Linked DNA regions of Astyanax mexicanus. The protein of the gene in region 1 interacts with the protein of each later gene in a biochemical or structural test. Links are inferred from orthologs where the notes say so. Each region holds a gene or a part of one and is shown on either strand. Other genes may lie near its edges. The genes, in order: ret and tln1.

The links.
Region 2: the proteins of ret (region 1) and tln1 interact in a surface display test, tested with the Homo sapiens proteins (2 studies listed by BioGRID and IntAct, with this or other methods). The link is inferred for Astyanax mexicanus from reciprocal best matches to the Homo sapiens genes RET and TLN1.

What each region holds. Positions count from the first base shown.
Region 1 is NC_064414.1:37,611,188-37,622,147, forward strand, and holds the start of ret (proto-oncogene tyrosine-protein kinase receptor Ret), read left to right. Parts: upstream 1-6,146; 5' UTR 6,147-6,388; coding exon 6,389-6,452; intron 6,453-10,960. UniProt on the Homo sapiens protein: Receptor tyrosine-protein kinase involved in numerous cellular mechanisms including cell proliferation, neuronal navigation, cell migration, and cell differentiation in response to glia cell line-derived growth family factors (GDNF, NRTN, ARTN, PSPN and GDF15).
Region 2 is NC_064427.1:27,066,789-27,077,630, reverse strand, and holds the start of tln1 (talin-1), read left to right. Parts: upstream 1-6,413; 5' UTR 6,414-6,608; intron 6,609-6,638; exon of another isoform or gene 6,639-6,735; intron 6,736-10,842. UniProt on the Homo sapiens protein: High molecular weight cytoskeletal protein concentrated at regions of cell-matrix and cell-cell contacts. Involved in connections of major cytoskeletal structures to the plasma membrane.

The DNA.
Region 1 (10,960 bases):
CCATGATCCAGAGTTCGCAGGTTTGAATCCTGGGTCATGGTGATGGCCATCAGCAGCCAGAGTCCGAGCACAGTTGGCCATGCTCTTACTAGATTTATGTCACATGTATCTGAGGAGGCATGTGTTAACCTTCACCCTCCTAGTGTTGGGGGCATTATTAGTGATAGGGGAGGTCCTAGTGAGTGGGTCGAGTAATTGGTTTTCTAGATTTGTGAGAAATAAATAAAAAAAAGAACATAAGTAGACCAAATGATGCTTAGGGATATATTTTTAATATTGCTTTATTGGTTGCTTTTTGATGAATGAAAAGCAGTTCTGCAGATGCTTCATATGTATGAGCCGCATGTTTAATATATTATATATACTCTCTCTAATATATTAGTTCCACAAAATATATTAGAGAGAGTGTCTTAAACATAGGACCAAAATATGTACATGCCCAAATCATGTACAGTACATATACGTACCAACTACTGCCAAGTTAAAAATGACAAATGGTTCTGTATAAACTTTACATTTATACAGTCATTTGGGTGGAGCAAATGCTGAATCTTTACATTTTTACAGTAAAAATATTGTGAAAAAAATATTCCATTGGAAGATTGAATTGAATTTATGTTTTATGAATTCAATCAAAGACCTCCTTCTCTGTCAGTTCATGAGAAAGCTTTTCATTTTGAGGTGATTAAATTACCCTCATTAGTTGAGCAGCCCTAAAGATGGACGTAAATTGGTCAACTGATTTAGGAAGTGGACTAATGATCATTGTTGCTTGAGGTCCCAATGGGAATGTGTTTCTCATTAGCACATCTCATTATCATTGTCATTTCAGCTACCGTGAGTCTAATGCATAGTCTGCAAATGGCTCAAGCACTAAACCAAGCACCGATTGGTTATGCTTCCCCCTAAAAAAAGACAAAACACAATCACTATCAGTGATATTCTACTTTGAATGAGCTCAAATCTCCAGATGATGTTATCACAGTCATATTACACGCAAAAAAAACTCAGTGTGGTCATATATGTCATGGATCTGTCCTCGCATTTGCTTGTCTGTATTGATTCACATTGGCCATATGTCTCACAATGCCTGCTGTAGAGTAATCTGAGCTTTGTTAATATGGACCTTTTAGGCTGGGTTATGTGCCCTTTTATGTATAGTTATGTAAACAATGCCTTTCTGTTGGACAATATCAAGAATATCTACAATAAATGATAAATATTATTTACAAAACAAAGCAACAGAGCATCTTCAAATCAACAATTTGGGTCCAGTTTCTCAAATGGATCTTAGTGATAAGATCATATTAACATGTAAAGAGATTCCTTGGTGTGATGCTTCCTTTATCATTTATTCTTCATATTATTTTATTATTTAGTCATACTGTTTAAGATGTTTTTAGAAACAAAATTATGATGAAGTTTAGTAAATAGAATGACATGGCAAAAGTCATAAGACAGCAGTGTGTATCTGATCTTGAAGTGTTTCTTCATGGCATGGCTTGGGAATATCTAGTTTAATATCTAGTCTAGTATTATTGATGTTAAACACTGGAGTTGAGTGAGGTCAGACATATGTGACACTTAATTTCTGAAGTTGCGTGTTTTTTTTTTCATCAACAATATATATATATATATATATATATATATATATATATATATATATATATATATATATAATTATATAAAACAGTGTGAATTTTTCTTTTGCTAAAAACAGCGTAAAAAGTAGTACCCTGATGTGATAATTAGGGGTGGGTAATATATGGCATAATATTTCAGGGTATAATATTGTTCACGATAATCAAAAATGTTGCCAATATTATAGCGTACTATACAATATGGCACACCCCTAATATTAATGTGTTGTTTTATGTGTGGATTACCACACATGAAACTTTCTTTACAATTATTTTTGGGTCCTGTGATTATATATTTTGTCCTATGTCTGTGCATGTTATTAAAAAAAAAGTTTTCATTTGAATATCTGAAATATTTGTCTGCATCTATTAGTGTGCTGAGCAGTTTTATTTTTACAGCTGCATTTATCTGACTGAATACAACAAATACCTTGGCCTTGTGGTTGATCTGAGACAGTTCAGCTGTTTGGAGCCAGTAGACTATTGGACCAGTGCAGGGTCCTAGAATAAACCCAGCATAAGCACATTTCAGGCCCACTTTAGCTTAGTATAGGTTTCACTCTGGGTTCAGCCGTGTACACATCGATTGGTGTGATTGTCGTGTGACGGACTGGTGACCAGCCCTGGAGGCAGAGAATCCGTGTATCATTCGTTCATTTGATATTCAATTGAGAATCAAAATCGGAAAATTAAAAAACCAATTCGTTTTTTCGTTTTTCGTTTTTGAATATAATACCAAAAAACGAATAACGGCTTGTATTTTGTATTTTTATTTGGTTATCCAAACAAAAATTGGAAATTTAAAAAACGGACCAGGAGCCGAATTTGATTTTGATTTTGAACTTGACCCATTTGTGTGCCCCGGAAGTTACTGATTTGTTTATTCTTGGTGTTTATTCTTGGTGACACTGGGACCGTGTACCTTTTCAAATGAAAACAGTGAGGGAAGAAGTTTACTACACCATGTATAGACTAACCAGCTAGCTAGCTAGGTTAGTTAGCCAGCTAGTCACGTATATAAAAAAGTATGTAGGCGGCAATTCACAGAATAACATTAACTAAATATGACATTTAGCTACGGAACGTTAGACAAACACCTGAAAGATCCTGCCGATTTTTTCTGTTGTCATATCGTCTTCTTTCACTGCAACGCGTTAAGTTCCTCTGAACAAGATAAAACTCTCCATCCTCAACTCCATCCAAAGCCTACAGCAATACAGACTGTGTAGATAACACTGCAGTGAACTCCCGCGCAACAGAAACCCACCAAGAATAAACAAATCAGTAACTTCCGGGGCACACAAATGGGTCAAGTTCAAAATCAAAATCAAATTCGGCTCCTGAATCCGTGTATCATTCGTTCATTTGATATTCAATTGAGAATCAAAATCGGAAAATTAAAAAACCAATTCGTTTTTTCGTTTTTGAATATAATACCAAAAAACGAATAACGGCTTGTATTTTGTATTTTTATTTGGTTATCCAAACAAAAATTGGAAATTTAAAAAACGGACCAGGAGCCGAATTTGATTTTGATTTTGAACTTGACCCATTTGTGTGCCCCGGAAGTTACTGATTTGTTTATTCTTGGTGGGTTTCTGTTGCGCGGGAGTTCACTGCAGTGTTATCTACACAGTCTGTATTGCTGTAGGCTTTGGATGGAGTTGAGGATGGAGAGTTTTATCTTGTTCAGAGGAACTAAACGCGTTGCAGTGAAAGAAGACGATATGACAACAGAAAAAATCGGCAGGATCTTTCAGGTGTTTGTCTAACGTTCCGTAGCTAAATGTCATATTTAGTTAATGTTATTCTGTGAATTGCCGCCTACTAAATATGACATTTAGCTACGGAACGTTAGACAAACACCTGAAAGATCCTGCCGATTTTTTCTGTTGTCATATCGTCTTCTTTCACTGCAACGCGTTTAGTTCCTCTGAACAAGATAAAACTCTCCATCCTCAACTCCATCCAAAGCCTACAGCAATACAGACTGTGTAGATAACACTGCAGTGAACTCCCGCGCAACAGAAACCCACCAAGAATAAACAAATCAGTAACTTCCGGGGCACACAAATGGGTCAAGTTCAAAATCAAAATCAAATTCGGCTCCTGGTCCGTTTTTTAAATTTCCAATTTTTGTTTGGATAACCAAATAAAAATACAAAATACAAGCCGTTATTCGTTTTTTGGTATTATATTCAAAAACGAAAAACGAAAAAACGAATTGGTTTTTTAATTTTCCGATTTTGATTCTCAATTGAATATCAAATGAACGAATGATACACGGATTGCAGAGTAATGCATCATGGCTGTCCAGCTCAACGTGGATAGAAGGTCTTGCTTTTTTATCCACCCGTTTTGTGGTAAATCCCGCTCTTCTGTTCCAGGGTTGGATAGCAGATCACCCTCACAAACAGTCCGCCTAATGGACCAATCCTAGCGCAGGCGGTGGGGCAGACCTATCCAATCCCAACGCAGGAGGCGGGGCATGTGTAAATACTGGCGGGAAAAAAACATCGCCATGCGCCATGAGTTAATCAGCCAACCAGAGAGTAACAGGCATGACCCAGCAGCTACTGAAACAAGTTCAGAGCAACAGCATTTACATCTAAAAATGCTAAATTATCACTATATTTGTGCAGTTTTTATATTATATATTATATATAATACAAAATAAGAATAATAAAAAAAGATTAATCCACGCACACAATACACAATTTTCAAATTAGTGTAGTATATTTAATTATTTTATATAAAATACAAATACATACAGACATACATGCATACTGTAAATAATTCAACTAAAATATTCATTTTCATTCAATATATTAATACACATATTATGTATAATTAAACAATGCAATATGCTGCACTGGTCCAAAAGTCAATGTTAAAAAGCCTAAAATAGTAAGGCTGCCCGAGTGGGACACAATGCACCATGATATAATAACAGGAATCTAATATATGCAGAACACCGAAAAACTATACTTGTACTTATATAACTAAAGGCCAGTGTGTTATATCCTGTATAAAGACATGCAGTCTGTACATACAAGCATAAATAGTAATGCCAGTAGAATATATACAAAGGCGTATATGTTTTAGCCATTTTAGCCATAGCCATTGTTAGTTGCTGACAATATAACTAAATATAAATGTGATAAAAGTGTTAAAGGAACAATCCAGGGTAAAATGGACTTGGGGTGCAGTGAAAACTGGTATGAATAAATGTTTTTGTTAAATAGCCCACCTCTGTTCAACCCCAACATTCAGAAATAGGATGCTTTTAGCCGATGCTGCCCATGCAAAGAAATCTCTTTTTTTACACCATTAGCAAGCACAAGATAGCAACAGCTGGAATACTTATAATATACCTATATACATTGCTCCTTTTGCTAGCATTATAAGCCTGTTGGGAGCATCAGCTAAAATTACTGTATTTTGGAATCCAGGGGGAGAATGAATGTAGGCAAAATTTAGCAGTCGTTATCATGTTTCAATACACCCCAAGTCTCTTTCACACTGGATTTCTCCTTTAAGACCTCAATCACATTTTAACATTTAATGTGTACTGTCAGATTGCTGTATTCATGCATCCTTATCCTTTTTTTTAGCATGTATCTATAAACTACCAAGCATTATATAGTATGTATGTATGTTTGTTTGTGTATATGTTTGTATATTTGTGTATCACTTACTTTCATTACATTCTTACAGTTTACCTACAGAAGTCTCTCCAACAGTTCACTTTAACATGTGATTTTGTGTTTTAGTCACAAGAAAAAACAACAGCACTTGCTGATTGGAGAATGTCAGATTTATTAGAGATACAAAGATAACCAACGCGTATTAGCACTCAAGCCTTCATCAGGCTTAAAAGACAAAAGCTAATAACACTCCAGTTTTTAAAACACACATGATTACAAAACAACCAATAAAAACACCCCAATTATTAAAGGTCACATAATGAGAGACTGACAGCTCAATTCTTTGATTTTACCAAATTGAAAACCTTTGGAATATAATCAAGATGGATGATCACAAGTCAACAAACCAAGTTGAACTGCTTGATTTTTTGCACCAGGAGTGGCATAAAGTTAACTAAAACTAACATAAACTATTGTTGTGTGAACAAAACTCAGTTAAGTTGAATAAACTAAACTGATTCAAGTCTAGCTTTAACTCAGTTAAGTTGAATACTTAACTTTGTATATATTTACAACTTAACTGAGTCAAAGATAAAAGATGAATTGAGTTAAGTTGACACAATATATATATTTTTTTTCAGTGTAGCTGAACTACTGTGTGTGTCAGTGTGATGCACTACACTCCGAGTCATTTGTTTAGACTCTTTATCAGACTCGGTTTTCTCGTTTCTCCTTATTATTATCATCCTGTGATTCTCCAGACTTTCTGTGGGAAGAAGCTCTCTCTCTGTGTGTGGTGGTGGTGATGCTGTGGAGAACCCAGCTGAGGATGTGAGTGTGGTCTGAGCCTCCTCCTCCTCCTCCCCCTGCATCGCCCCGCACACACGCTACGCAGCTAACGTTAGCGCCGCACTCACCAACTCGTCAATGGGATACTCAGACTACGGACTTTTTTGGCTCCTGCGAAAAGCGTTAAACGGCTGAATTCCTAAGGCTCTGTTTTTTTTTGTAAAAAATTCAGAGCGGCGGCGGTAGCGGCACAGTTCATCATCAGGTTGATTTAGTCTGTTGAATCAGAAATCCCACTTATGAGTGATAAGTATGGGCACGGCGCGCGGAACGCTGAGGGGGGACGTTGTTGTGGTCCTCTTGCTGCTGTGTGAAGGTAAGGATGGGCTATTTCCTTCATTTCTTCTTCTGTTTTCCTACTGAGTGCTGAGTATTTTCTCTGTGGTGTTTTATTATATAGCGAGTCAGTTGTGCGTGTTTAGCGTTTTTTAGAGGCGCCGCGCTTTCTTTCTGGCATTATGGCGCGTTTACACTTGTTCTCCTTGAAGTTAAAACAAGTTCTGATTCAGATTCCTTACAGTCTATTTTCACGTGCCTATCTTATTATTTTTACCGTAATTGTTAGGCTTGTCACGATAGCCATTTTTTGACGATATATTGTCCATATTATTGTCATTTTAAGATCAGTTAATGCCTCTGATATAAAGCATTTCTACACTTATTTTGAAAAAGAAATGCAGGTTTAACTATTAACAATATTTAGACACTATAATTAGAATATAAGAATATTTAAATAAAATATCAGAAATTAAAAAAAGAAGAATAAAGTTGACGTCCATTCTCATTTACATTAATGATCACTTCTCCTTAACCCTCTGTGGCAATAATTCTATTTTTTAGAGAGAAATATATATATTTTTGGAAGTTTGGGAGTCCCTGTAGATATAGCTATAACTTATATTTAGATTTTGACTTTTGATAACAAGCTAATAATTTAAATCAGGCGTTTTAGAGCAAGAAAGCACACAAAACATGTAGAAGATAGAAGATGGTCTCCACCAGGACCAGAGATGAGAACTGCACAAAGCAACAGATATAAATACACCGTTTTTTCAAGTTAACAACAACAATCTAAGAGTATTGTAATAATATAAAAAGCTAAATATATTTCTTTACATATTCTTGCACATATAAATTTGTAAATAATTGTACATCTCATTGTATAAGACATTGATACACCTTGTAACATTATATTATAGATAGATAGAACAATAAGGTATTGAATCATATGGCATGTAAAATCTGGTTTGTTGTTTAAGAGAAACACAATGCCATAGAGGGCTAAGTAAACACAATGTCCAATATTAAGCTCAGCTTAAATGATTGAGGTAATTGTACATACACATGTTGTACATAATTTTTTATGGCAGGCCATATTTTAATTGTCACATATAGAGAGCGTATGCAGTTACATGTTTTGTATTGTAGGGTGATCTATGCATTAATATATCTAAAATGTAACTTTAGAACTTCCATTAAGATACTAATTGGCCGGATTCAATAAATTAGCCATACAAAGCTGCAAAAGCTTAATTCCTCATATATTTCCACACCCCTCAAGTAATAAATGGAGTTATGTAGCACATTGTGGTTATGAAAAAAACAGACAGTCTATTTATACTGCAGCCTATTTATTTTTACAGCCAGGCATTGCAGTGTCCAGGCTTAAATACATCCTAGACCATCTCCCAGATCTCCCTCCCGTGCTCTCCCATTCTGCATGTTCAGGGATTTGTTTCTTCCATTCTGTAAGTGAGAGGCTGCATTGAATCCAGAGGACTTGTGACCTAGTATGCCACATATTTCCCGCAAGCAATATGCACACTGTTATATATTATAATATTATAATCCCATTTAAAACCCTCTGTCCAACTGTACTAACACTCCCCTCTCAAATCGACTATATTTATATTCTAACTCATAGCTCGGGAGTTTTTAGATGGCACAGTGTGAGCAGAGATTTACACTAAAAGAGAAGAGTCATGCTGGTGCGGTGTGAATGTAGGCAACGTAGGCAAAAGCAGTACATAGCAGAGGCTTTTTTTTCTGCTATTTTGGTCCTTCAGAAAGCATGCCACCGTATGTGCATGCATGTGAGCGCTGCATTTCAACATTACCTCATTATGGCATGTGATGGAGAGCAGAGGTTGAGCTGTGATTCTGATGACGAGTAAATGGTAAATTAAGCTTGCAGTGTCTAAAGAGTTGTACTATAAGGATGACAGGTGCTACAGTCTAGCTCAGTAAAGACCAGCAACAAATGCGAGACATGTTTGTGGTGAACTCCATTTCAATTTATATGCAAATGGAAATGCAAGTTTTTAGGAGCCATTTGTAAAGGTTATCAGTCTCTCGATAAACAACGGCAAGACTTATATTTCCTTGCCTGATTTACACCGAGGGAGGAGATACTGAAAGTAGGCCAGCGTGGATGCAGTCTGTACTATAAAATGAGTAATGTGAAATATTATATATATTTTTTTAGTTTAGCAAGGGCAGTTCACAGTCAGAATTAGAGCCACGATATGTATAATGTAATATTACATTATTGTATAGAGTATCACAGTTTATTGATGGTACTGAATAATTCAGACATGGATGTGTGGTTCAGATTCAGCTCGCACTACAGGGTCTCGTAATGTAAGCTCAGTAAACGTACAGGGACTCAAGCCACACGGCAACTAAGCTTTCAGTGTAAACATAAACCTGTGTGCTGAAGAAGATGTAGCAGGTTTTCAGATTGCACAACAGCAGTATTTTATTCGTTGATTATATTTTTATAAAACATTCATTTGCCCCTTATCTATTGAGAAGGACATATCTATTTTATGTTTTCATCAGGTGTGTAATGTTTGTAAAGGTTATTCAGTTCCTGAGTTATTATAAGTATACATTTATTGTTTAAGGTTAGTCACTTTTGTAAATGTACAAGACAAGCTGCAGTGGATGAGAGCATAAAGCAAAGCCACTTTATTGGGTTTAATCCAGAAATCACTGTAGCAGTGCATAGTGTGTGTGTGTGGGGGGGGGGGGGGGGCAGACAGGGTAAACATAGGCATATCCGCAATTCCAAACCAAGCAAACAGGCAGTTAGAACAAAACAAGATAACACTCCAACAATCAAACTAAGACAAACAGGTTGAGAAAAATCAGGGATAACACTGCTTGCAGGGATAACACTGCAGACTGACTGTAGTGCAAAGCTTTATGGGAAAACAATGAAAGCAACAGAGAATGCATACATGGACACACAAACAACAGGTGAGGACAGTAATCAGCAGCCGCACTCAGGGTGGCTCCATTGTGGTGTACAACCAGTTTGGTTGATTGTGAACAACAGAACCATCGTGATTACAACGTGAGAAAACCCTTCCTTAATGCGCAGCCCCTAAAGCACCAAAGCTGGAATCGCGGGGAGGGCTCGGACCAGACCTGGACCACTGTGTAAGATAGGACACCTAGTGGCAGGGCTGGATCAACAACAAGACCTGGAACTGGTTTCTAGACAGAAATGGAACAAGCAGCTAACACAAGCCAAAAGTTAAGACCGGAACAAGGACCTGCTTAGGACTGAGACAAGGGTTTAGTAGAAGATGTGGGTCGAAAGGGACTCTGAATCGTGAATACAGCAAATTTCAGATAACAAATGAGTAACCAGGAAAGAGACCAACATTTTATATGTCCAAAAGAGGTGGTCAAAGTCCAGATGACCTGGACTATGGTTTGGTTTGCTTGTAGCGTAAAAGCTCTTTTTTTTAGATGTTTTAGACTTTAGGGAAGTTGAGACAGGCTATCATCAACTATTCATTAAAGAGAAGAAAAAAAACAGCGTTGTGCCAAAATCCAAATCCAACTCTGCATGCACTCATGTTGCTAGCAGTTTGTGTGCAAACATTTACTCCTGTGACTAACCCTAACCCTAGATTAATTCTTATATATAAAAAGTGATCGAGGGTAATCTGTTGCTGGGTGATGACATGGATGTGTACTTGGAAGCGAGTCAGATTCCGTACAACACCTGGAAACTGAGCTGACAAACTAATTGGTGTAATGTTTAAGGAAACACAGCCCACATAGGTGATAATGACAGGGTGTAGTTAAGTCCTTTATTCCACTGACTAAAATGCAATGTGACTAACTAACCAGACTAAATGTTTACAGTGTAACAAACACATAAACCTTAGTTTTAGGTTATTAAAACAGACTAAGATTTGATCAGGAACTAATCCGGATGTAAACATGATTAGAAGCAGTAACTGGGTCATTGTAAAGTTAATAACAGTGGCAGCAACTTGCACATTAGCTGGGGCAATGATTGGGGCCAGCACCTAGGTCAGGGTCATGGACTAGGGCCAGACCAAAGACAGGAGCAACATGAAACAACAGCTGGAGCTGCAATGGAGCTACACCAGAGACAGGAGCTGAATCACCAACACACATAGGAGGGGCAGGAGCTAAGTCATCTGCAGAAGCTGATTTGGAAAATAGCTGATTCACTAACAAGGCTAGCAACAAAAACTAGACCAGAGAAAAACACAAACTAGAACAAAGAAGATACTGGTACGGAGATAGAAACCCTATTAGGGACAGAACATTGACTGAGGATGGAGCAGGTAGAAGAATTGAGTCTGTTGCTAAAGCGAGATCTAGATCATTGTGTACGACTGCAACTTCTACAGGATCTAGGACAGAATCAGGAACACTAAGTCCAGAACTGAGCCCAGAATTATGTGAGTGAAACAACCTTAAGCTCTGAGATCTCAGAGCAGGTCCATGGGCTTTGGAAATGGTTTTGCTGCAGGCATCAGATAAAGATCTGGTATA
Region 2 (10,842 bases), on another chromosome or scaffold:
ATGAAAATATTTATATTTTAAAGGAGCGGTGGCGCGTTTGACCACAAACACTCGTTCAAATGCCAGGGTCATACTTCTAATCATATATATTTTTTAAACATTATATTAGTTATGATTTTCAATAATGACAACAACCAAGTATTTATTGCATAATTTTAATATTTAAAGAGGGTTATCAGCAGATCAGAACAGATACTGAGTGAGCAGTAAATCTCACAGGGTTAATTTGCTTCGTGGTAAAGTGCAGGATAATTTTAGCCACTAGATGTCACTCTTCTCTGAGGCTTCAATGCCTCGAATCAGGAAGAAGCTTCAAAAGCTTTAGTGAGGCTTCATCCGCCCATCACTAGTGATTACAGCTGACTAATTTTTAAATCAATCTTACTAATTTTTTGCAGCTGTATTTTTAAAAAATATGTTTATATTTTACATAAATCTGTGAAGAAATGTGTTAATTTCAAGCTTTCATTTTGTTTTAACAGTGTTTATAAAGTATATAAAAAGTTTTTTTGTAGTTTGATTTTAGGTACTGATGGGTTCAGTGTAGAGGCATTTAAATGCTTAAACTCTTTCCTGAATTTTTTAATGTTCAAGATTCAATTTTGAATCCCAGACCTGTTGGATCAAAGACTCTTGTTAATGTAGCCATATCACTTTGCTTCATTCATTTATGTATTTATTTATTTCTCAGAAAAGTAAATAATAAACTGATTACATTATAATTAGTAAGTAATACTAACAGTATAGTAATTATTGGTATTGGTATTTATCAGGAACAGTTAAATAAGACTCTTCTAGCACTCTTTATAGCACCCATTGTTGAACTATTTTGATGTAAAGAGAAATAAAATTAATAACTAAAATATGTGAAAGGTCCAGTTGCATTTCCATCCTATTAAAAGTGATTATCCTATTTCCCCAGTTACTGCTTTTTATTTCCATTCCTCCTCCTACTCTTCTCACCTCGATTCATCGGCCTTCTTCCTGGGTAGGAGAGGAGTAGGAAGGTAGAGGAATCTCCAACCCAGAAGAAGACAGAGGAGTCAAGGAGAGAAGGATGAAGAACGGAGAGATGTATCATCAATTGAGGAAATGGGACAGCTGATCCCTTTTAATAGTGTGTTGGCTACTGATGAACTGAGCCAATCACAACGCTCGCTTTCAGATCCCCGAACACTGCCCAGCCAATCACAGCTCAGCTGCAGCAAGCAGTCTGCACATATACGTCAATCTTTATAATTGTTCATTTAAATTCCAGCTCTTTGCAGAGAACACGCTACAGTTGCCAGTATTTATACCATTGCCATATATTTACTGCTTAGCTAAAGATCAGTAACTTTTAAAGTTTCTAGACGCGACCAAATAATCGAGTCTTTTAAAGACGGATATCCAGCAGCATCACCGGTTTGATGGTATCAGTGAGAACGCTGTTTATTACGGTGGCCGAGAAAGCCCAGCGCAGTGCAAATTGAAAAGCGCTGCAAAAGCACAAAACACATCCATCAAAATTACAACACAGGCGCAGCAAATAGAAAAACGCGCTGCAAATAGAAAAACGCGCTGCAAATAGAACCACAACACAACGGATGTGAGTCACAACACAACGGAATTTTCCCGGGGGACCTTAAAAGATGCTGTACCAGCTGTATACAAAGGACAATAAGTGGCAAACAAGCTTCTGAAAAGTAAGTTATGTTTATTACCTGTGATTGCCACGGTTGTGTGCATATTATTAAAAGTTCTGCTTCACAAAACGCCTTGTTTGCCACTTATTGTCTTTTGTACACATAGTGAAGTCCGAGACGTACAGTATCTTTTAAGGTCCCCCGGGAAAATTCCGTTGTGTTGTGACTCACTTCCGTTGTGTTGTGGTTCTATTTGCAGCGCGTTTTTCTATTTGCAGCGCGTTTTTCTATTTGCTGCGCCTGTGTTGTAATTTTGATGGATGTGTTTTGTGCTTTTGCAGCGCTTTTCAATTTGCACTGCGTTGGGCTTTCTCGGCCACCGTAGTTTATAGTAGTGAGGACATGAAAACGGAGCCCCCCCCTCTCTCAGTTAAGTTTATTCCTTTCGGTTTTCTTCAGGTGTAGGTCTTGTTGAACACCGTTATCTTACCAGGTAAATGGTTGGGTAGTTGTTACGCCAGGCAGGTAGTTTATATACCACTGAGCTCTTTAGTTAAGACTTCTAATGAACATCTAGCTAACAATCCAATGCAAACTTAGCTAATACTAGCTAATTAGTAGGCACCAACTGATTGTCCCGACGTGGAGCTACGGTTTTAATAGTAGGTTTTGGGCGTAAGTAAGGTGTTTTCTGCTTATAATTAAGAATCTGTTTATAAAGTAAATAGACTACACCGCGAGTCACTCACACAGCTGGTGAGAATAGATTAATTAACAGCAAACTGTGACAAACTGTGTATAATGACTAGTTTCCACACCTCAGGCCGTAGACTAGCTTTAGCCCAGTAAACGCTATGCTAGTAATGCGCATTACCCAAGAGTATCAACTACCAATCAAACATTAACGTGAGTTGTATGAAATTAAATTGGCTAGCTAATTAACCCTTATTTATATAATTTAATTTGTCAAACTTTAATGAACTAATAATAATTATTATTATTATTATTATATATATTTTTTACTACAAACTTAAGTTAATCATAGAACCTAGTTAACTAGTAAGACTACTGAACATCTCTCTTTAAACAGTAGTAACTGCTAGTAACTAGGATTAAAATGGAAATTCGGGATGTCAATGCATTGTTCCATGTCGCTGATTTGAAAATAAGAAACGTTAAACCCGATTTCGGTTGATGAGTCGGTTGATGAGTCGGTTGATGAGTCGGTTGATGAGTCGGTTGATGAGTCGGTTCATGCTGATATTTAGCTCTATTTATTTATTTTTTAAATCCACGCAAACTTCAATTTTTTCTGCAGATTTCCTTTAGTATGCTCTACTGAAGCACTTCTACTTTAAAAGACCAACGGCATCATAACACTTTGCACTTGCTTAGAGCTTTATTAACACCTGTTCATCTACTCATTCATGTTACTATCTAATCAGCAAGTTGTGTTGTAGCAGTGCTGAAAACTATGCCAATAGACCAGCAGCTTCAAACAATCCAGATTCAGAATGCACTTTTATTGCTTGTTTTTCATATTTTGTTTTAAATAAAATTTTGAAGATTGTGCCATTTAATAAAGACAAGAAATAAATGCTTGTGTTTTTTTGTTTTTGTTTGTTTTTTTGTCCACCTGCTGAGAATTATTGAATAAAGTATAAAACACTGAATTGTTTCGGCTGTGCCATAATGAATCAATCTTAATATTTAGATTTCCCTTCCCATCAAAGAATTGTGAATGAGCCAATAGATCAGAATTATAACCTTTTTGTCCCCGTTATTTACATTTACATTATTTGAGGAACATCAGTATTGTAGCTTATCCACATGGTTAAGTTGTGCCAGCTGATTTCCATTGTGCCTGGTGGCCTGGCAGCAGCTTTAGGACGTGCTGTGGATAAAGTTATGGAGATTTCTGCTTGTGCTATTTAAATTGGCGTTCAACACCTGGCCGCCAGGGGGCGCTGATTGGTGTGGCAACTGGGAGTTTGCACTGCTGGGGGAATGGTAGGCCAGCGCCTGGCAGAAAATGAGGTTATGGTCATATGTGGTAGGTTTCTAAGATAGGGAACCCTAGAATTTATATTTTCATGTGGATTTGGAACATTTCCAAAAGCGCTTTATTGTAATAAGAGGAAGACTACAATAAATCTGTGTACAAAATCTTTACAAACTTAATTTATTTTTGTACATTTATTTAGACAAAAATCTACTTTCATAATTAGACCAGAATGACTCAGCTGTTTAAAATATATATTAATATTCACTCTGAATTGATGCATTACAATTATAGAATTATGTAAAGCTTTATGCAACAGTTTTTTTATGCATTTTGTTTTTGCCATGCCTGCAGTGCTGCTTTTTACAATGTGTTTAAATAACACATTTTTTAAAGACATATCTTGAACTTTTGAAGAGAATTTTCGTAAAAATCAAGCTATTTAATTATATTTAAGGAATAACCCCGCCACTTAACCCCTTTACAGGCTTTGGAACGTATACAGGCTACGAGTGTAGATGATACAAAATCCTTATTCTCTGCAGTAAAATAGGTTATTCACATTCTGAAAAATTTGTGGTCTTTAGAGAGACTCCTACAGGTTACTTGTTGAAGCTACCTGTTCATTCTCTGCTCTACTTTATCATTTTAGATCAGTAACATAAATTAACCCCAAATTCTGCAGGTTTGAATGTAGACAAAAATTAGACAACTGTAATGAAACGAAAAGTTTGGAGGACATGAAATGTTTGATTTGTATTCTGGAAAATAGTGATTTTTAAAATGAAGTTAAGGAAAGTGCCAATGTTACGATTGTTATTCATTATATTTTTAAAGTTTTTTAAAGTAATTTTTTTAAAATAATTTCTATTACACTTACAATTCAGATTTGCAGTAACGTTTATTATTACACGTGAAACCTTTTTATGTAATGCTATTACAAGGTTTAGTCTTATAATATCAGGCAGAAAATTAAAAAAAATATTTGCCTGTTAAGAAGTTAAAAAGTGCTTGATTAGGCTGGAAATATGATTGGTGTGTTGTCAGAAAGTCATAACTCAAGAACCTTTTAATGAGTTTTGTCTGATTATATAGACCTCCATTGACAACCGAGTCTATTTTCTGTTTACAGAACTTTGTTGTACTGCTGTTTTACTATCAGACCACAGGATGGAGCTGTAATAGTGGGCCTGTTTTCCAGAGTAAAAGCGAAAGGAAGAGCTGCAGTGCTGAGCTTAAGTTTTTCGTCTATACTTTTATGTTTTAATTTAAATAAACCACATTATTTATCAGCAGTGGAGTGTTCTAGTGGACCACCATAGCAATAGCAAAAATTTCTCAATTTCTGGCATTTTTTGTTGTGGAGGACATGAGCTGCCCCCTCTCAGAAAAATAGAAACAATAGAAGAGAAAGAAAGAGAGAAAATGAAAGTTGTGAACTGTATCGTTCCGCTGCTTCTCTATCTGTGAAGATCTGCAGAACATTCCCCTCCTGGCTGGCTTTTGTTGTTGAGTGAAAAGGCATCCGGTTTATGAAATCTACCATATCTACGCCCTCTGCTTGTCTGCATAGCTCAGAGTGGTATAATTTAACTCCACTCCTATTCCGCCAAGCCCCGCCCCCCTATAATAAGATTGGCTGAGGCACAGACTAGGACGTTTTATTCTCTCTTACTGCAGTTCTAATCTTCTTGTGACCTCTTTATTTTAGCTTGTTCCCACCAAAAAAAAAAAAAAACACGGTTGTTTTGGTTATGTTGATTATTTTGTCACAACGTTGTGCCATCAACAATGTTCTAAAATAGAATGTGTTTTGTTGCCAGATAATGCATAATGTAACATGACCGACATCTAAGAAAGTCAGAAAGTCAAAAGGTACTGTAGTCTTATTACTTAGAGGGAGTGTTGCCTAATTAAACAAAGTTGTGACAATGAACAGGGCCAACTTTAAACAATGTTGTAGCAACATTGTTAGAGGAAACCACGTTTTAACTACTTTGTGTGTTTGCTGGGTTATTGTGGCAATACTTGTTTTTTTTTTTAAAGTGGAGTACTAATTAAATCACTAAATAAATAATATATATTTTATCTGCGTGTTTAGGCTTATGTTCTTTTCACATTTTCACATCATTTTTGTTGTTTACTTTTAACAATAAACTATTTAGCTTTTTATTGTTATACAGTATAAGTAATAGATATTAAATGCTGCACACATAATTACAACATATAAATTATGAGGATATTCAAGGTACAGAAAATATAAATATACATAAATTATGACAAAAACAAAATTAAGTTATACATACGTTTCATAAGATATCAGACATTTGTTGCTTTTTGGAGGGTTATTTATTAGTTTAAAGGAAGCTTAAGCTTAATAGTTAGGAGCAGTTCTGTCTAACTTACACATATGTATAAATAACCTAGTGGTAAGAACAAAATAGGTTTTTACATGTTCCATATGTTTGGTTCACACTAGAGAAATAACAAATTAACAATAACGTCCATAAGAGACATGGTTAATATTTGGTTTACAGTAAGGAAAATAATAAATAAAGAAAGACAGAAAGAACGAAAAAAATAAAGAAAATCTTTTCACAGATTCACAGAAAACAAGTAAATTGGTCACGTTTATAAAATAAGATATTCGTTACAAAGGTACTTCTTATACTACTTTTTCATGTACACGTCTATGAGTAGTTCTGAGTCTAGTCGCTGAACGACCAATCACTTTTGAGGAGGGGCGTGGCCTGTGCGGATACGGGTGTGGGAAAAAATAGCGTTAGCCGGGCTGCTGCTGCTGCTGCAGGGTGGAGCTTTGACGCTGCCTCAACCAGACAAACGGAGGCAAGGAAAAAACCCAGAATCTGACATTTTACCAACATTTCTGGAACTTACACCACTTTGACTGGGGAACGGGACTATATTTACACCGACTGTAGTCCGAAGGTGGACGGCCGGAGGTCGAGGAAAGCGGGGAGGTAAGGCGAAGTGGAAACTGTCTGTGGAAAGAAACGTTTGGTGAAAACTTTGTGAAGGGTGGGAAGTTCCTTCCGACGAGTCGCCCTCAGTCAACGCGTTTTCTCTGCAGTTTATTTAGCGAGTAGTGTAAGTTACTTTTATTCTGTCATATTATGGGTTTAATGCAGAACTATTCGACTAAATTACGATAAATTCCAAAATAGATGCTGTGAGGAATGAGAGAGCTGGAGAACATGAGAGCAGAAATGCTGAGCTAACTTTAGTTAGCTAACGCTAGGTTCTCTCAGCTTTAACGGTTTACTGGCTAAACCTAAACCTGTTGATATGAAACGCGGAAGATTAGCTAGCGTTACAGTTCTCATACTTTCTGAAAGCCTATTGTTAACCTTTGATTATTAAAATATTGTGTTAAAATTGTATTTATGAGTGGCAATAGCTGTAATGTGCCCGAATACAAAGTACACTAACGTTAACTGTGTGAGTTAATGAGAGTTTGGGAGTAAAAAGTCAAGTACGGCAGCTTAACTTAAGTGAGCTAACCTATGTTAGCTGAGTTATGAGCTCGGGCCTGTAACGGTCAACTTCATGCCTGATGTCACGTTTCTAGTTTAACAAACGTGTAATAGCCGCCATCCTAGAAAGTATTGCCAAGTGTACAGCTCATCTTGACCTCCTGTCTGAAGCTCAGTGCTTACTCATAGATTTGGAGATCATGTGTCTCTAATTAGCTAATGTAGCTATGATTTCAAGCGTTATAATGCTAAAAAACTTCCTAACAAAGCTAGCCAGCTAGTGAACTTAACTAGTTACTGAATAGGGCACTGAGAGAGAGAGATATATAGTAATAATAAAGTGTACTGAATGTGTGCGCACTAGGTTAACTAGCTAACTGTCCAACATAGAAGAGCATTACCGGTAGAATGAGGCACTCTGGAGCAGCCACTCACGAGGCTAAGGTCATCATGACCAGTGCCAGTCTCAGCTAGGTTAGACAGAGGTGGACGAAATGCCTAAATCATGTGGCTACCCGTGTTAAAGTTGAAAAAATTACACCTTACGTAGAAGTACCAAAGTAATAGTACCATGATATTTTACGATTGTAATGTCCAATGTCTTAAGACTTGACTGCCTAATGTTGGCAACAAATAAAAAACAGTGTTTAAATAAGCAAAAATGTAAATTAAAATCTATGTATGTAATAAAATATTTAACTTCATATTGCTGCGCATATACATATTTAAATATTTTATCTTAAAAGGTATTTAAAAGTTAAAATGTTATTTAAACACGATATTCATCAAGTAAATTACTGGTATTGCATCCTATGTGGCTTTGTTTGATCACTTCACCTTAAGTTAGAATGTTAAACCAAATTCTTCTTTCTTATTTTATTTAATGGAGGCATAACATTAAAAATTAAAGGGATTCTGTATTTACAAAAAAAGTGGCTTAAAAGAGGCTTAAGCATACATTCCAAAATACAATACAATCCTATACAGAACTGCATAAATCAATATGATATATTCCATAATGTTTGTAGGCATAGACATTTCCAAAATTTTCCTAAACAAGTTGCTCAGCGGTTGCACTGTGTGCTTGCGTACTGTAACTACAGGATGTCCAACATGTCAAATAAGTTCAAGACAGAGTGTATGCTATATGCTGACTGGTATGTACACTTTGTTTTTAAACAAAAAGACCTTCAAAATACTAAATTAAAAACAGTAAAACATGTATTTTACTTTGTGACTGTCTTTGTAATCACTACATCTTGAGGGGCAAGTTATATGTCTCTCATCTCTCTGGGTTGATGGAGCCTCATGCCATACCTATGGGATGAGCTATGGTGCCATGTGTACCTTACCTCACTAGTTAGCACTCTGGTGATTCAGTGCAGTCATAACAACAGTGGTCAAATATCTAGTGTAAAGCCCTCCCAGAGGAGTAGAAGCTTTTAAAGCAGCAAAGAGGAGACCGCCTCCCTATAAGTACAATTGAACTGTTGAGAGATTGGGTGTTTGTGTATGTGCTCAATTTTTCTACACATATTTGGTCCCTGTTTGTATACAAATACATTTCCCTGGTGCAGCTGGGCTTGGTGTTCCAGGTAATGTAAGTAGTAATTTGACCCTGCCACCTATCACCATGTTTCATTTCATTGTATGCTTTCCTGCATGGTAGTAGGGTGGCACAACAGAGTGTGTGTGTGTGCGTGCGTATGTGTGGCTGCACAGGAGCTGTCAGATGGGTGATATCAGAGGAAAAGATGCACCCTGCAGGGATGGAAAGTCTGCACATATTTGGAGAAACAGTCTAGGAGGCTGAGAGTGTAAAGATGTACAACTGTGAATTACACCTTTACTGAACAGTTCAGCCTGCATACACTGCTGACATAAAGAAAAGATTTAGCCAGAAGTTAAATTTGCAGTTTTTCTCTTACCCCGAACTTGATAGATTGGCCAAGACATGTCTTTTTTTTTTAGCTATTAGTGTAAATACTGAAGTCATCTAAATTAGTGTGAATTAGAGTGTCAGAGACTTACTTTTAGCACTGTAAATTTAGTATTACAGTATTTTTAGGTTAAATTAATATAAGCAAGCTTCAGACCTTAAACATGTCTTAGCCAATCGCTTACATTTTGGGTAAGGGAAGGGGATAGGCAGGATGCTAATGAGATTTTTAGCCTACACAGCATTTTGAGATAGAGATTTCCCATTTAAAGAAAATATAGTATACAACTAGGGTTAATCTTTGTCCAGGAAACTACCTCATTAAGTATGACACGGCATGCAAAAATACAGTATTCGCTTTAGAAGATATGCTATCTTGATGGATTATCCTACCTGGAATACTAAAGTTCTTACTAGATGTGAAAGTGTTTTGAAATAGACTGTTTGGCATTGTTTGTCAGGAATGACACATTTTTGTTTTTGCCAAATGTTCCAGTTACCCACATCAAAGTATGACATGTAATCTGCTAACCAGTAGGGTGTAATTATCATAGTAAACACTGACTTCGCTCCAGCAGAGCCGTCACTCAGCAGATATCTCTTCATCTATCTATTCAAGGTTAGCGGGTGTTGTCACTGCAAAATTGCTTTATGAACCAGCAATTAATTTCCATGCAGTTTGACCCACATTGTGCCGACAGCGGACTGTGTGGCATAGTCGTTATGCTGCCTCAATGGTTTGCATGGGTCTTGGGGTGGTTCATCCTCAGGCGTTCTCTGTATGGGTTCTTCCCTTTTCTTAGGTGGTTGAAAGAGCATTCAGTTCAATTTTGTCTCGTTCTGCCTTTTGGTTTATGCAAGATGAGCTAATCTGCCCAGGGGTAGCCCATTTAGATGAGCTGCAGGGTGGGACCTGGTGCGCTGGATTCAAAACTAGGGGGTGTTAATCTGCTTTGTCTGGCCTATTTGGCTGTGTAGCAGGAGTGTAACAATGCCAATATAAAGAGCTGTAGCAGAATAGTGTTTTGAAATTCTATACAAACGTATTAATATTGCAATAAAATTGAATGAACACAAACAGATATTTTTTTTCTAAAAGATGAGTACATATCTATCCACAGCATATCCATGTCTATGTCCTGCTACAATGCTTGATATAAAATAAAATACTCACTGTATTAATTTTCATGACATCTATGTGAGGCAGAATGTATTTGCAAAATATTTTTTAGAGTAATGTATATCTCGCTGCTGTGGCTTGAATCATGAATTGTGTGCATATGTGTGTAAGCTAATAAGACTATCCTATTATATAGTGACTGCCATTTTTCCAGTGTAATTGTGTGAAATTAATGTAAAGTCCCACACATCCTGATGATTAGTGTGAATTATAATATTCAAATGCATGTACTGTAAGTTTATACAAAAAAAATTGCATGATGTGAACCAACGCACCAACTGTTTAAGTTAAGCGCAGTATAAATCACAGCATTGTTTTTGTGCACTGAACATTTGGAGTAAATAATGACCACTCAAAGCCTCAGTCGATACTGCTGACCAATCAATAAAGCGGGCTGGAGGGTAGTTAGAGTAGACTGGAGAGTATATTGACTGAAACTTGGTAAACAATGTCATTGTGCTGTTTAGTGCATGAACTTGATCCTCTTGTTGCTTGTGGCACAGTAGGCCTCATTCACGCATACTAAGAAAGAGACTTCTATTGTTTATGATTATCTTTTGATGTGAAGAGTGAGCCACTCCTTTCGATGAAACTATTATTCT